2 linked regions of the Rhinolophus ferrumequinum genome follow. The protein of the gene in region 2 purifies or fractionates together with the protein of the main gene of each other region. This does not show direct contact. Links are inferred from orthologs where the notes say so. Each region holds a gene or a part of one and is shown on either strand. Other genes may lie near its edges.

Region 1 (7,377 bases), on a different chromosome or scaffold from region 2:
GTCCCCAATTCCAAGTTTATAAAATTTTGGTCTCAAGAGAGAAAAGGAAGTACTGACACCATAATACAAGCAGTTCCCTTAGATAGTAGCTTCCCTTAAAAGATTTTTGAGAGCTTGTTCCCACCCAGCTGGGTATGGCAGTATGTTGTGATTTGCATAACACAAAGTGCACTGGATTTGAAGCCAACCAGATCTGCTTTCAAACTGACTTCTGATGCTATCCTGCCACATGACCCTGGCTAAGTCACTTAACTTCTCTGGGGACTAGTTTCCTGATCATCAGTAAAATGGGGATAATGCTTCCCGCTTTGGCTATATCACGGGAGCTTGGGATTTTGCAGACTATAAAACGCTACATGAGTGGATCACAGTATTCCTTTATTCCATCATCTCCTGGGGGATGAGGGCTTCATCTCTATAGGGACCTTGACACAGGACTACTGAACAATAATTCAGGAAAACGTAGCTATTGCTTACCCCCCACACAAGCCCATTACCAGGTCCCCTGGATGGTTTTGTGATGGACAAGACTAGAATAAGGAACCTGGAGGTGTAGTACTGGCTCCGTCTCTGTGATCCTGGGCAAATCACCCCCTCTTTGGTTCTCTGCCTTCTCACTGTGAATAATCTCTAGTCATTCCTAGCTCTAAACCCAACATTCCCAGAGTGAGTCATTTCTGTTTCAGGCCACATACCTGAACAACAGCACTCAGTCCAGGCAGGAGCAGCTCTGAATATGGATGGGGTGGCAGGATGGAGACAGTAAGAGGCTGAGCAGATGCCGCAGTGTCCCTGGGAGCCTTCCATCAGGCCCTACTTGTGCCACTGGGAAGATGGGGGTATGGAGGCACACTGGTAATCTGTGGTTCACTCTCGCCCCAAACCCTGATGCAGCCTAGGAGGAGAGCTGAGGACTAACCAACAGACTGGCAGGGGAGAGACTGTGCTAGGGAGGGGAGGAAAACTCCCCAAAGGAGAAGAGTGGGGTGGGTTGGGGCGGGCTGCCTTCGACATTCTTTTCTGGTGCTGGGGTTGATGAGAAGAGGAAGCCGAGCCTGGCAGTTATAGGGGCTGGGTGCTGGGAATAGGGGATGGGAGGGGGTGAAGGGTGCCCACCACAGGAGGGTCTCCCCAAAGCAGGCCAAGGGTTGGGCAGGGGCACACCTGTGTGCCAGCCACACTAGCACGTGTTGGGTGTGGTGACTCTTGCAAGGGCAGCTCAGTATCTTACCCTGTCAGCTCTGGAGAAAGGATTAAATTTCAGGAGATTTGCCCCGAGGATTGTGGGGATCCCAGGGACCAGCTCCAAGGGAATCAGTACATTTTTTTTATAAGCCTCCGGTGGCATGCCCGTTTTTACAGCCGTCTCTCTTGCGTGGCACAGGGGCTACCTTTCCAAACTCCTTCCTGACTGCAGAAAGGCAAAGACCGTTCATCTATGTGCAGCGGATGTAGCCCTCAAAACCAGAACACGAAGGTTCCCTATTCCTTGCTTCCGTCTCTGGGTGGTCCCTTAATCCTCCAAGGGAAGGTGTGGAGGAGACACTCCCCTTTTCTGCTGCCTCCCTCAGGGTTCCTATTGCAGAAAGGCTGAGTGCGGCCAGCAGCGGGAGTCCTGGAGGACGGCCAGGTGTCCTCTCCAGGTGAACGCGCGCTTTCGTGGCCACGCCTTGCCACTCGGGGGAGGTGGGGGCGGAAGGGGACGAAGCCAGAGGGCTCTGGGGCCCGCACCTAATCTCTCCCGGAACTGGAGAAATCCCACTAAAAGTGCGCACTTGCATCTGCCCCTCCTCTCCCCAACTCTCCCAGCGTTCTCCCCAGTTCAGATACTTATCGCCCTTGAAAAAAAAATCAAGACAAGCTAGTCTTTCAGGTAGTTTCGAGGGAGCTCGGACATTCTCGTGGCGGCTCAGAATCAGAGTTTGAGAGAATTGAGGGGGCTGAAGGTTCCTCCTTGAGGGTGGAGGGGGGTGGTCCCGCCTCTCACTTAGGGACCGGGACCGGCCATCCGCACTCCTTCCTCTCCAGTGTAAAAGTGCCAACAGCTCCTGGCGGAGCTCTCCCTGAGCCACTAAAGTCCTTTAGGGCGCCCGCACCCTCCCCTCATCGCGGCCCTGCCACTTGTGAGACCTCACCTCGGTCACGAACTGCACTCTCCGCTACCGTCCTGGGCCAGGGCCTCGAGTTCCCGGGAGGGGTGCTCCGTTTCTCCCTAGCGGCTCCACTCCCTCCCTCACCGTACTCGCAGGGGCACACACAGCCCGGCCCACACCCTTAGCGAAGGAGCGGCCTGGAGCGGGTCTCTACGCCCCAGCTCGCTGGGGACCCCGTGTCTTCCTGCCTGCCCGGCTTCGGAGAGCCCCCTACAAACACAGCCGCCCCGCCCGTCTCCGGACCCGGCGGCGCTGCCAGCTGGCGCCCGCCGTGCCCTTTCTCCTCGGCCCGGAGTCTACCCGGCGGGCGGTTTTAGTTACCCGTACCCGCGACCGCGGACAGGGTCCCTGGGGCGGACAGGTGGCCCCGGAGAGAAGCACGCGCGGTTGTCGCGCTCACTCACCCAGAAGATGAAGTTAAAGCCGAAGAGCAGGTATTTGATGCACTTAGTGCCTCCTTTGACCGGCATGGTGCGGGCTGGATTGGCCTGAACTGCACTGGTGTGGGACCGGGGCGCGCGGCGGGGACGGGCAGGACCAGGTTGGGACCGACGTGCGGGTGGCTGCCGCTTGGCCTCCGGGCTGCACTTTTAAAAAAGTGCCACTCGGTACGGAGCCCTGTAGGCTGCAGTGCGCATGTGCCGAGGACCCCGCCCCGGCCCCGCCCCCGGCCCCACCTGCCCCGGCCCCCGCCCGCCGCCCGCCCCCGCCCAGGTTCCCGAGATTCCAGCCCCTGCAGACCCCCATCCGCGCCCTTCCCTCTTTCTCCCATAGTTTCGGGCTCCGTCCGCTCCCCACCGACTTGGCGGTCCCTTTCTTACGCCATCCACCCCCTTTCCTCCCAACCGTCTAGGGGTCTTTCCAGACTGCCACCCCCTGCTGCTTTAACCTGGGCGTTTTGTGGCAGCCTCGCCGTTCTGGTTCTCGCCTGGTCGAGTCCGGGCTTCCTGCCCGAGGCCTCCACTTTGAGAGACCTTCTCCGGGTCAGGTCGTCGGGATATAATCCCCTTACTCAAGGCTGGCTGCCCGCACAATGAGGGCACTTCGTGTTTTGGCTTCGATTTGAAGGGAAGCTGCCTGGCTTTATTTCTTCCTGGGGCGGCTCCGTGCAAACCTTCACTCTTTGAGCACGGTTGTATTTGGCACCTCATGTGGAGTAGCAGGAATTAGAAGCTTGCAGTCCAGGTGGGAAGATAGGTCGGCGGCTTACCGAAATAATTCTAAATGCCCGTCACCAAATAGTAATATGTCTGAGGGTTGGGCAATCCGGGAGCGTTTCCTAGACTTGTGGTTTAGATGCCCCGAGAGGGGAAGATAGTTTGTTGCCCAGCTTCCCTCTTGCCTCTACTGCACACCACCCACCCTCTTGCCTTTTGGACTTCGTCCACTACTCCCTCTTTAATGCTCTGGATACCAAGTTCTGTTCATGTTTTTCATCTGCTCAAAGGTCTCTGTAGCTCCCCACATTCAATGACCTAAGTGGAAATAACTTATCTTGCATCTGTAAGGAACCACTCTGCTCTGCCCAGCACTCCACACATTTGTTGGCCCGGCTTTGCATGTGCCAGTGGTGTGTGCCCTAAGGCTGGTTGGCCCTCCCCTCTTCACTTGCAGAAATTCTGTGGCTCTTGAAACATTTCTTTCCTGATTCTCACCAAAGGATGAGGACGTTTCCCTTCTTCTGTTGTCCCAAAACCCCTCTGCATTTTTTTCAAAATGAAGTGTCCTTTAGTGTTCTTTTTGTTTTTTTATTACAAAAGCAAAACATACTCAATACAGAAACATCAGAATAAGACCAACAAGCAAAAAGAATGTAACTCAAAATTTCACCCATCAGCAGCAACTGGTAGCTCTTATTTAGCTGTTTATTTTCATTGTTAGATTTATCTCCATTCATTCAAAAACATTTTTCACTGTCTACTTATGAGGGTACAGCATTAGGAGCAGGAAGGAGCTGATCCTGTTTTTGCCCTTAGGGAGTTCTGAGTCCACTTGGGGAGGTATGCAGGCAGGCTGGCAAGGGGATTAGAGTGCTGTATATACTATATGTGTGTATATGTGTGTGCGGCAGGGCTAAGGGAGCTCAAAGGAAGGGCCTCTGACCCAGACTTGGAAGCAATGCTGCAGAACCACAGGGAAAGTTACTGCAGTCGTCAGAGAATCTCGGGTGATGCCTGGGGCTGGGGCTGTCTGGGGTCTGGGCTAGAGCTCACAGGGGGGCATGGGGGCAGTATGTGGGGAGGTGAAGGTAGCGACCTAGCTAGGGGTGGGGTGAAGGGAACCTCGCAGCCCCTGACTTTGCATTCTGAAGGATTCTATTGGCTGTGTGATTTAGTTCATTTCTCATCTGTATGTTAGTTGAGTGGGGGAGGGCAGAAGGGGCAGGCAGTTGGCCCCTTAAGGATAAGGACCATTGTTTGTCCAGGCCTTGGCTCAGGGCTTTGAGGAATTAGACTGAAAATTGAGGTGTCGTATCTGGGGACCTGCAATCTGGTGATGTGAGGGAAGCAGCAGAAAATGAAGGGGAGCTGAGGACTGCGTGGAAGAGGCTGTTGAATAGTTCAGATGAGAGACAAAGTGAACTAAGGTGGGGTAATGGGGTGAGACAGGAGACAGTGCGGCCAAACCAGAAGAGCAGACAAGGTGGGGTGGTGCTGAGGGGGAGATGGAAATCAGAGTCGTAGGTACCAGATTAGGGAGGACTTCGTTCATTTGTACTTTTCATGTTTCTTGAGAGCCTGCTATGTGTCACATACTGTACCGTATGCTGAGATGCAATGACCTCTACCCCACGTGGAAGACTCACGGTATAGGATAGATGAGCACGAGCCCATGGAATCTTTGCCTGTGTGTGTGTGTGGGGGGGGGTGGGGTGGGGGGAAGATATGGCCTAGGAACAGGTAGAGGGACATGGTGCATCTCTAACTCTGCCAGAGTCAGGAGAGAGGCTTCCCAGTGCAGGGGACACTGCAGCAACTGACTTTGGAGGGCGGGGCAGCAGACAAGACCAGGAGGAAATTGGAGGCAGAAGGTACTGTATGTGCAAAGGCTCAGAGCATGACACCACAGGCAGCTGGCTGCAGGGCAGGATGACCAATAGTGGGTGAGACTGGGACGGAAGGAGGAGGAGGAGGAAAAAGAAGCAGAGAAAATGGGCTTCCCTTAAATGTGGCCAAGCATGGCCAAGCAGAGGAATTTTGGTAATGCTTTACCTCAGTCTCTCACCCTAATGCAGTGTCCACTGAGGATGGTTGGGCACTGGAGTATGTGAGGCACTGTGGGAGGGAGCAAAGCAGACAATGTCCCATTGTGCTGGACAGCCAGAGTCTACGGAAAGAGAAGAATTTATCTTTTTATATTCTAAATCCCCCCCCCCGCCCCCCCATTAACAAGCACAAGTTGGGAGGTGTTTAGTGAATGTTTAAGCTTATAATAGAAACTACTTCTTAGGGTAATTGCTAGTATTGAATAAAGTAATCCACAACATGGCTTACTTAGTACAGTGCCTGCCCCAGAAGTGCTCAAGGAATGTTGGCTGTTGTTACTATTACTGTTATTATTTACACTCAAGAAACAATTGTGAGGGGGGCTATAGTTAAGCACCAAATTACATATAATCAAAGGAGGCCTTATAGTTCTGAGCAAGGAGATCTGACTTCTATTCTTGGTCCCACCCTTTGGTTTATTTTGGACAAGTCACAGGCTCCCTGGGCCTCAATCTGTACAATGAGCATTTTGGATTAGATGTCTCCTCCGTTGTGACAGTCTATGGTGCAGTAAGCCTCTGGGCCAAAGTGTGTTATAGGCAGCCAGGAAAAGGAGAGATGGAAAAAATATGGTTTGCTTTAGCTGGATGGGGAAAATCTGGATAAGTCCCTGAGTCAGAGATCACATGGAGACATGAGGCCTTCCAGGTTTTGTGGTGCTGGAAGGGGAGAAGCATTCCTCTTTCGGGGCTGCTGGATAGCTCAGTTGGTTAGAGTGCGAGCTCTGAGCAACAGGGTTGCCAGTTCAATTCCCATGGGCCAGTGAGCTGCTCCCTCTGCAACTAGAGTAAAGACAAGGAGCTACTCCCCGGCAGCTGGATGGCTCAGTTGGTTAGAGCGCGTGCTCTCAATAACAAGATTGCCTGTTCGATTCCTGCAAGAGATGGTGGGCTGTGCCCCCCGCAACTAGATTGAAAAACAGCAACTGGACTTGGAGCTGAGCTGTGCCCTCCGCAAATAAGATTGAAAGAACAGCTTGACTTGGAGTTGATGGGTCTTGGGAAAAAACACACTGTTCCCCAATAAAGTCCTGTTCCCCTTTCCCAATAAAATCTTTAAAAAGTTTTCCTCTCTTCCCTCAGGGCATCCTGTTTCTGGAAAAGCCCCTGGTTCAGGATGAGTCCACTTTGGCTCGTGTGCCCCGCCTGGTGGTTAGATTTGAACATGCAGGGTCCTGGTAAACTAATGACCTCCCAAATCCATATCCCTGGGATTGCTTATCCCTGCTCTGGGAGGCAGGACCCACACTCTCAAGGCCACTAAGGCCCTTCCAGACACCACACCAATGGCCATTTTGAGTATTGTTTTCTCCTTGATGCTGCTGCTGACCATTCCTTCTTTCTAGACACTTTTCCCTCAGTGTCTCTGGTGCTGTATAATCTTGGTTCACTCCCGTCACTTCTAGAAAGTTCTTTATTGCTCCTCTTACTAAGCTCAAATGCCACCACTTCAAGAAGGCTTCCTTCACTGCTCCATGGATCACCTTGTTTGACTGTCTCACCCGTTACTCATTGACCTCCATCAAGTTCTCTGTGCACAACTTGGTGGTGAGCTCCTCTAGAATACTTTCTCTTGACTAGTTTCTGTGTTCTCCATAGCAGTCAGTCCCTTCCTCGCACAGAGTGAGCTGTCTGCCAACATGTGTGGAAAAACTGCAAGGGAGTGGGTGTTCCTCAGGCTTTAGTTCTCTGCCCTCTGTGCCCCGCTCTCAGGTCTTTCACTGAGCACTCAACCCCTCTTCTTCCTCCCAGCATTTTGTTTTTGAGCTGACCCCTCTCTAGACTCTTCATGATATCCTGGGACCTGTTGGGCATTTCCACTTTAATGCCCCCTCTCTCCAATATGCCCACCTCCTAATTCTTCAAATCTGTGAAGATGTGACACTACACGGCAAAGGGGATTTTGCACATGAGATAGTTAAGCATCTTGAGATGGGAGGTTATTCTGGATCATACTTG
Region 2 (8,306 bases):
TTGAAAGCCCCTTGGTCTGGACTGGTCATTGAAGAGAGCCAGAGGAAAAGGACATACACACGCAGGCCTGCTGCCTGCAGCCACAATTGCTATGCCCATTTTCTTTGGCATGCGCCTTGGAGGCTGCCAGGCGTCTGCTCTGCCCAAAGAAACGTGTTTTAGGAGAGCACAGCAGTCACCCTGGCTCCTGCCTCCCTCAGGTATGACCTCATCTTCCACGAGCCACAGCAACCCCCATCCGAGGCTTCCCAGAAACCCTCATTGCCAGGCAAAGGCGAAAGGGAGAGAGAGCCCCAGAGGTACCTCCCATAGCCCATAAAGTCAGGCCAGACCAGGACACCTGGATTCCCAGGAGGGAAGGCAGATAGGTGCTGGGGGTGCGCAGGGTTGGTGACCATCTCCCGGAGGAAGAGTCCCTCTGCTTTCCCAGGCGTCCTCATGCATCTCACCAAGAAGCCCAAAGCACCTTGGTCCTCTGCCCTGCTCCTCACCTCTCATGTCCAGAGATTGAGAAATTGGGGCCTGGGTTGGGGTGAGCCTCCGGTGTTGTGGGCAGGGAACACCAGTCCAGAGATGGAGATGACAGGGAACCAAGAGGGGCCACACCTGGGTTTTTAACCATTTCTGGATTAAGGCCTTCTTTGAGAATATGATGAAAAAGCTATGCTCTCCCCTCCTCCTGACCCCCAGAACAATGAACAAATACATATGATTTTACATAGACTTTCAGGGTTCCCTGCACCTCCAGAAAACCTCCTATGAACCCCAGGCTAAGAGTTTGTTCAGGACCATGAACCATCCCCCTTTCCGAAGGGACTTTGAGGCTAACAGATTAAGAGCCAACTTGAGTAGCTGGTTCCCCTGAGCTGTGCACTCAGGCAGCTGTTCACATCTGGCTACACAGCTGGCTGCAGCTAAGCCCAGCTGGGCCAGCTGGCTCTCCCAAAGAGCCAACGGGCAGAATTCAGTGAGATGAGGAGATGAGCCAAGATCTAGAACCATCCCTGGGAAAGACTGAGGATACCCAAGAGAGTGACCCCGAACTCCATCTGGAACGACCTGCTTCTCTGAGGTTCATTAGTTTTAGGACCTTCTGGGCTCTTGGCAGGCCTAATGTCATCTCTAACTGCCCAGGAAAAAAAGTAGAACCCCTGGGCTCAGCCATCTTGGGTGAGGCCCCTGGGTGGTGAAGGTGCATCCAGGTTCTGGCTTCAGTACACGAGCCTTCCGCTGCGCCTTGGCACACGCAGGGCATTTCATTCACATTATCTCATTAAAGCCCCCCGTCACCCCATGAAGAAGGCGTGCTGTTCCCCTTCCCCTAACACGTGAGGAAATTAAGGCGGAGGTATGATTGACAGATCCAAGACAGGAAATTGGCAGTGGAACTCGGGAGCTGCTGCTTTCTCCACAATGCCAAGTTGCCTCTCATAGGGCAACATAGGCAGGAAGGAACATCTAGATCCAGGTCCAATCCCTCTTTGGATAAAACTGGCCCAGATAAGGGAACTGTCTTGTTCAAGGTCACATAGCACAGGGGGATGGTGGTATTGCAGAATCTTTTATTGACTCTAGCTTTCCATTATTTCCTCTTGCTTTTCTGATCTTCTCTTTACACTGTGTCGCCTTGTATCATGCAGATTCGGCATGGGAAATCAGAAGATCTTTTTCTGGGTGGGGGCAGAGAGAGCACCAATATAGAAACTTGTGTTGATGGCCACTTAGGGTCTCCGAAAGATGGAGGGTTGGCCAAGGCCAGACGGCAGCTGCTGGGGCCGGACTGGGAAGGGTGTGGTGGCCATATGCTCTGCAGATGGAATCAAGGCCAAGTTCAGGTAGGTTGGGCAGGGGCTGGGCCAGCAGGGCAGGAGCCAAGACTGGGGCAGAGTTTGGACTTTGGATATTCCAAGTTTCCTCAAGTTTCCGCAGGCCCCAGCCACACACCCTTTTTCTGATCGTGTCCTCTTGCTTAGCGGGGTCAGGTGCCAGGAGGGTGCAGATGTCTGGTAGGTCACCCAGCCCAAAGTGACAGGGGCTGCCTGGCCTGTCCTAAACACCATCCCTCCTGGGGCAGCCTACCCTCCCCCAGCTGTCCTCTTCCCCAACTGCTGACCTCAACATACTGAGTCCATGGCACAGAAACATCTGAAACCTGGACATGCCCCTCTGGACATGAGTGTGTATGGTAGGAGTGGGGGTGGGGGCACAAGCAGCTGAGTGCAATCTCCTTCCCTCTCTCCCCTACGCCTAGTTCTCCCCCCTCCTTCTTCTTGCAGCTGTTGGAGAAGGAGACCAGAAGAAAGAAAAAAACACCATTTCGCTCTTCAAACCAAACAAACACACTCAGGGTTGAAGATTCAACATGAATCTGTGGAATGCAGGAAAGATGTCTGGTGGGAGGGCGTCACTGCTGGGTTGGGGTGGGGGGCAGGAGACCAAGCAGGATTTGGGACAGCCCCTCCTCTTTCTTCTACTCCTCCAACCTCAAGAGCTCAGAGGGAGCGCCTGGACAGCTCCAAATGCCCAGACTCTCTCATCACATCACTTCAACCCCCAAGTCACCCCAACCGCCAAGCGCCAAGCGCTGGTTGAGAAGTCCTCCAGTCTGGCTCTGCAGAGGGTGTGGCTGGCCTGGCCGCAGACTAAATGCGAGGTGTAAAGAAAGCGGGCTTAAGTGCATGTGCCCATAGATGCTTCCCCCAAAAAACGGGGAAGGGGGATCCACTAGGTGTTTATCTTGCAGTTTTCCCACGCTCCCAGCCCTGGAGAGAAGAGGCATGCAGTATACTAGGTACTCAATTCACAGAATGGAAGGGAGCTAAGGAAACGGGGACCCCTCTTCTGCTCTTCAGAGAGATGTGAAGGGCTGAGGGACTGCGTCTAGACAGGTTCTGGCTGGGTCAGCATTTGCCAGTGATTACTGCCCCCCACCCCATACCCAATCCCTCCACTTCCCGCCAAACCTCAGCAGCAGGAGGGTTGCCCGGGTCCCCGCCCCCTTAATCTTCGCTCAGGGGAGCAGGCAGCTCCCAGGCCTGGAAGCCCGAGCGGGCCAAGACTTGGACTCAGCTGCGGATCCGCACCCTGCACACACACACACACTCTCTCTCCCACCCCACCCCCGCCAGCCTTACTTACAGGTAGCGCTGCTGCCGCTCCGTCTGCCGGTGGAGGGCGACCGAGTAGCCGAAGAGGCTGCCCGGGTTCCCGGCCTCCTTCACCACCAGGAATCGGGTGTCCAGGTTGAAGGCGGAGGCGACGCGGCCGCCGACGGCCACCATCAAGACAAGCGCGCAGAGCATCGGGCGCAGGACGCGGGTGGCGCGGCGGGGGCCGGGGCCCATGGCTGCGAGCTGGAGCGAGGGCCGGGCCGAGAGAGCGTGAGGGCGTGGAGCTGGGAATGAGAACCTGTTCACCTGCTCCCTGCGCCACTGGAAAACACTCCAGCCGGCCGCGTAATTGAGCCCCGCTGTGCTGATCAGCTTCTGGTCCCCAGCCTTGGTCGGTGTCGCGTCCGCTCAGGGTCTGCGCTGCTCACGATTCCCCTCGGAGGTCCGCGGGTCTAGTCTCCCGCCTGCCCAGCGTCGGGTCACCGCCCACCCGCCCCGGGCACCCTGCCCCCAGTTCTTCACGGCCGCGCCCCCTTGGCCGCACGGTAGCCTTCGATCCCGGCTGGGCGGCGGATCTATGCAGGCAGACTGGTCGACAGCAAGGAGGACCGGAGGGAAGGAGAGTTATCCCCCGCCCGCGCGCGCGCCCCGCCTCCCCACGCCCAGCTCTGCACCTCCCCACCTTGCGCGCCCAGTCGCGGCTCCGCTCTCCTTCCGGGGAAGAGAAAAGGTCCCGGTTCGGCCGCCGCCTCTTAAAGGGGCAGCACTGCCCCTCCCTCATCCTCCCCAAACCGGCTCCGCCCTCTCCCCCAAACACCTGTCGGGAGCCCCCAAAGGCTTGAATTTCCCTTCCCCGCCCCTTGCTTTTCAAGAGAAGCGTCGCCTCCGGAGCAAGATGGATTGGACCAGCGGGGCCGGGGATGGGATTTGTCCCGCGGGTTTGCTGCTGCTGCTACTGCTGCTGGAAAGGCTTTTCCAGGAGCGGGCATCTCTGCTGTCTCGGCGGGAGAGCCCCAGCGTTGGCGCATCTGGGAAACGACCCCCGCTCGCCTCTGGCTGGAATGCCCCACTCGCCTCCGCCGCGCTGGGAGTCCCAGAGAGGTGGCTGGCGGTCTCTGGGCGTTCCTCCTCGCAACCAGCCTCTTTGCTGTCCTCGTCGAGATTTTTTTCTCTTGCCCACCCGCCTCCACCCACCCTGATCCCAGCTGGAAATGGTCCCTCCGCAAAGCCAGACAGATATTTAGCAGTAGTAAATAAACAAGTATCTGTAATCGTAATTAGCAACAAGACAGCGTTTTCTCCCAAGGGCTGCGCCTTCTGGTCTCCCTTGTAAGCCCGATGTGGAAATGAGTCCCTGCTCCTAAGAGTGCCCCTCCGTGGCTAGGGAGCTGGGCCCAGACTGCACCGATTTCTCATTCGCCTTCAGGGACGAGCCCACCAGAATCCCAAAGGTACCCTGAGCTCCCTCCCAGGCTCAGACGGACTGTTTGGAGACTGGGCAGGAACGCCAGCCCCCGCAGGTGTGTAAGTGGGCGGTGCCAGTTGGAGGTAGGTGGGTGGGGCCTAAATGTTTGGTTACCCGCAGAAGAATCAACTGAAAAGGAAATTCAAGAGGTCACGATGGGTCTAACTCAGATTTCTTGGGTCTAACTCAGATTTCCCCATATTGCGGTGGAAAGACCCATTTCCTCTGACCATTCTTTTCTCTAGGGTAAAGGAACTTTCCAGTTCAGCCCTCCCTTGAAGTTCAATTTAGAACCCCTGTCAGAGAGTTTGTAATAATGATAAGACCCATGTAGTAGTGCTTATGCCGGGGGACGTATGCTTAATGCTTTACAAATATTATTAAATCCTCACAATAATCTCTGAGGTGTTATCTCTGTTTCAAGATGAGAAAACGGAGGCTCAGGGAGGTTAAGCAACTTGGTGAAGGCCACACAGCTCGGATTTTAATTCCGTGTAATCTGACCTCAGAGCCCTTCTTGACCAATTAAGCTAATAATTAACATTTGTACAATACTCAGGGCAAATCTAGGTTTTGTGGGGCTTGAAGCTTGTACAATTTGGAGCCCTCTTTAAAGAAAAGAGTAAAGAATTAGGTAGGAGTATAAAATTAGATTCAGAGCCTGGGAAGGACTCAGGCCAAACTTTACAGTTGATGAATCATTTCACATGCAGACTCTCATTTCATCTTCCCAGGCTCCCTATAAATTCAGGATTATCATCCTCATCTGACTTACTAGGGAACCTGGATGTCCAAGATCCCACAGCTCATGGGAAGCAGAGTTAGGACTGGAAGCCACCAATCACAGCTGTGTCTTTAAGAGACAAACTCCAGGCAGATGTTGGTCAGACAGCCAGATGTCCCTACATAGAAGCAGCTGCGATAACAGTGTTCTCTGTGCTGTTTGGGGAGAGGACACTCATCCCTGTCTGCCCTGAGGAGAACACTTGTTCCCAAGCTGTGACTCCCAGAGCCACCCAGCCTCTCTCCATGGTCCACCTGTGGCACAGAGCCTCCCGGGGTCAGGAGATATCTGGGGTCAAGGAACAGGAAACTGACTCAGCGGGGAGTTGAACCATTACCTGGATCTCCTGGCTGGCTGCTGGGTCCTCCACCTTGTTCTAGGAGAAGAGGAGGCAGCCAGAGCCAAGAGCTTAGGGGCCAGGGAACACAGTGTGGGCAGGGGTCCCGCCTGAAATAGCTTTAAGAGCCCGGTGACGACACAGGAGGGCTCCATGCCAGGCGTTATCTCTTTGGCCATCCCCAACAGGAATGACCAGCATGTCCGATCCTGGGGCTGGGAGCAGGAAAGGGATGAGGGATGGTTTTTCCACTCCAGGGGAGTGTCCACAGGGAATGTGGGAGCAGGAGTCTGGTTGGGGGAGGGCCCAAGCTCAGGAATGTGGGGGAGTGTCAGACAGATCTGGGGGAGATGGAATGGTAGAGGGAGACTTGGAGACTGGAAGGGCCTCTGGGCTGGAGAGATACAGAAAGAGAAATCCCAACTTCATGCCAAATGTCCGAAATGCTCTGGTCTCAGTGACGTCATCCACGATCTCATCTCATCCCCCAGCTGACTTCATCATGTCAACTCTTCCTCATGGAGAAGGGACCCACCTAGAAATAGACACAGACAGAGAAACAAGGACATGTGAATAACATGCGTGATGAGGAGTCTGAGTCCTGTTTTTGATGTTTGACTGCTGACAGCTTTTTAAGCTGTTGCCTCTCCCTCCTCCCTCTGTGCCCCACACCTGGGCGAGCTGATTGAGAAAGCATGGGTGCTATGCTCCCTCCTTTGGAGTCCGTGGGAGATTTGAACCATGCAAGTCCTTCCTGCACAAAAAAAGCCCTTCCATGACCTCATTCCCTAAGCACAGTAAAAATACTGGGCCAATCTCCTTTCTTGGCTCTCTCAAGCTATTTCAGACCTGCTTGAGAGAGGCCTGCTCTGCTTCCCTAGAGACCTCAATTATGTAAATAATAAAACTTTGCGTTCTCTCTTGATGTTGTGTGTGGCGTCATCAGTCTTGACATTGAACTAAACCTTGGGTGGGGTCCATCTGTCTCTGCAGGACCATGACAACATGCAACTATAGGTTCTGCAGGGTCAAGGAGGCTTCCTGGAGGAGGAGTACCTGGACGAGGGAGAAGGAAAGGACTAGCAAGAGGGCGTCTCAGGAGAGAAGAAAGCAGAAAAATTGGGGTCTGGTTTGGGGTGAAGTTTTCTGTCGCAAAAATGACATCAAAATTCTATAAAGGCACTTTCCATTTCTTCGGCACTTGCGGTGTTTCTACCAGCCTTCGTCTGCCTGCTTACCCCCTCACACCCCACCTTGGTCTCCCAGAGCCCAGATCACACCACTTGCTCACTCACTTTTTACAGGAAGGTCAGTGCGTGGATGTTCCCAGGCAGTTAGTGGAGAGATAGTGAGATGGAGTGGAATTATGGGGCCGTGAGGGCTGAATGCAGGCTACCTTCTGCTCTCTCACCTGGGGCAAGTTACTTTCCCCCTCCAAGCCTCGATTTCTTCATCTGTGAAAAGAAAGGGCTGTGGAAAATTCCTCATTATTCCTCTACGGGTATCCTTTGTGCCCCAAGGCTCCTAACGTTTGTTGAACTAAGTGGACCAAATCTCTGCTATTGAACTCAGACTCAGGTCTCTATCTCTGATTTGAATTGAAAATGCAAATAACTGGAGAGAGAGGGAGGAGCTGTGAAGCTTGAATGGGTTTATCAGATTTCCTTTCTCCAGTGACCCAGATACAGGCGTGGGGGGGCGGGAGTGGGGCGAGAGCCCAGTCCCGGCAACTTCCCTGGCTCAGAATCTGTCGGCCTCAGACATTCACTGACAACCTACTATGCACTGGCACAGAGCTGAGAAGCCCCAGGGGTGTCAGAGATGAGCCAGCGCATTTCCCAGAGGCCGGGCGTTCATCCTGGCCTCACATTCTGAAAGCTCTCAAATTTAAACAGGCTAAATCCACATGACATTGTAGTTTAGGGCTGGGGCTTATGGAGCAATGAGGGGGTGTCAGAAAGAACGTTTTGGCTACAGCATGAAATTGGCATTGCCAAGAGAGAAGGAGCCAGCAGGAAGGGGCTGCTGTAATAATTTCAGCCAGGGGTGAGGGGCAGAGGGGGGGCGGAAGACAGTGAGAGAGAAGGCCCCAGGACACTGCTTTGACTTGGACTTCAGGCGCAGGTGTGGCGGAGCACGCCTGGGGTGGCAGAGGGAAAGAGCAGAGGGGTTCTGGGAATAAATAAGCAGTGACGCCTTCAGGCGCCCGGTGAGCAGGCCCCAAACATCAGGAAACTTCCCTGCCAGTCAACACCCCCCATACACCGTCTTTCTAGTTCCTCCAACCCTCTCCATGGTCCCCTCACTGCCACCCAGGGCCTGGCCTTGCTGCACATGGCCTGCCCTCCTGGCTTGGAGATTAGGACTCTGGTGGGCTCTCCACCAGCATTCTCTATCTCATGCCAAGGTGGCACCTTCAAGGTTGGGAGGCCATGGGGCCCACGTGGTAGCCCTGGCTGAGCTGAGTCGCCAGCCCCCTGGAGCCCTGCTGTTTCTGGGGGAGACTACTTACTGGCAGGGTTCTGTGCCCAGGTGAGAAAGCTGGACAGGTGAGGGGCTTCATCTACCTTTCCCTCCCCCAAACTCCTGCTAACTCCCTAGAGACTCTTC

Evidence for each region. Proteins that work in one complex are often made in the same cells at the same time.
Region 1: the proteins of ITGA3 (region 2) and CD9 purify together in Homo sapiens (affinity purification with western blotting; 3 studies listed by BioGRID and IntAct, with this or other methods). This does not show direct contact. The link is inferred for Rhinolophus ferrumequinum from reciprocal best matches to the Homo sapiens genes ITGA3 and CD9.

The regions. Positions count from the first base shown.
Region 1 is NC_046293.1:23,513,760-23,521,136, reverse strand, and holds the start of CD9 (CD9 antigen), read right to left. Parts: upstream 3,193-7,377; 5' UTR 3,043-3,192; intron 2,736-3,042; 5' UTR 2,624-2,735; coding exon 2,558-2,623; intron 1-2,557. UniProt on the Homo sapiens protein: Integral membrane protein associated with integrins, which regulates different processes, such as sperm-egg fusion, platelet activation and aggregation, and cell adhesion.
Region 2 is NC_046304.1:33,418,835-33,427,140, forward strand, and holds the start of ITGA3 (integrin alpha-3), read right to left. Parts: upstream 3,345-8,306; coding exon 3,139-3,344; intron 1-3,138.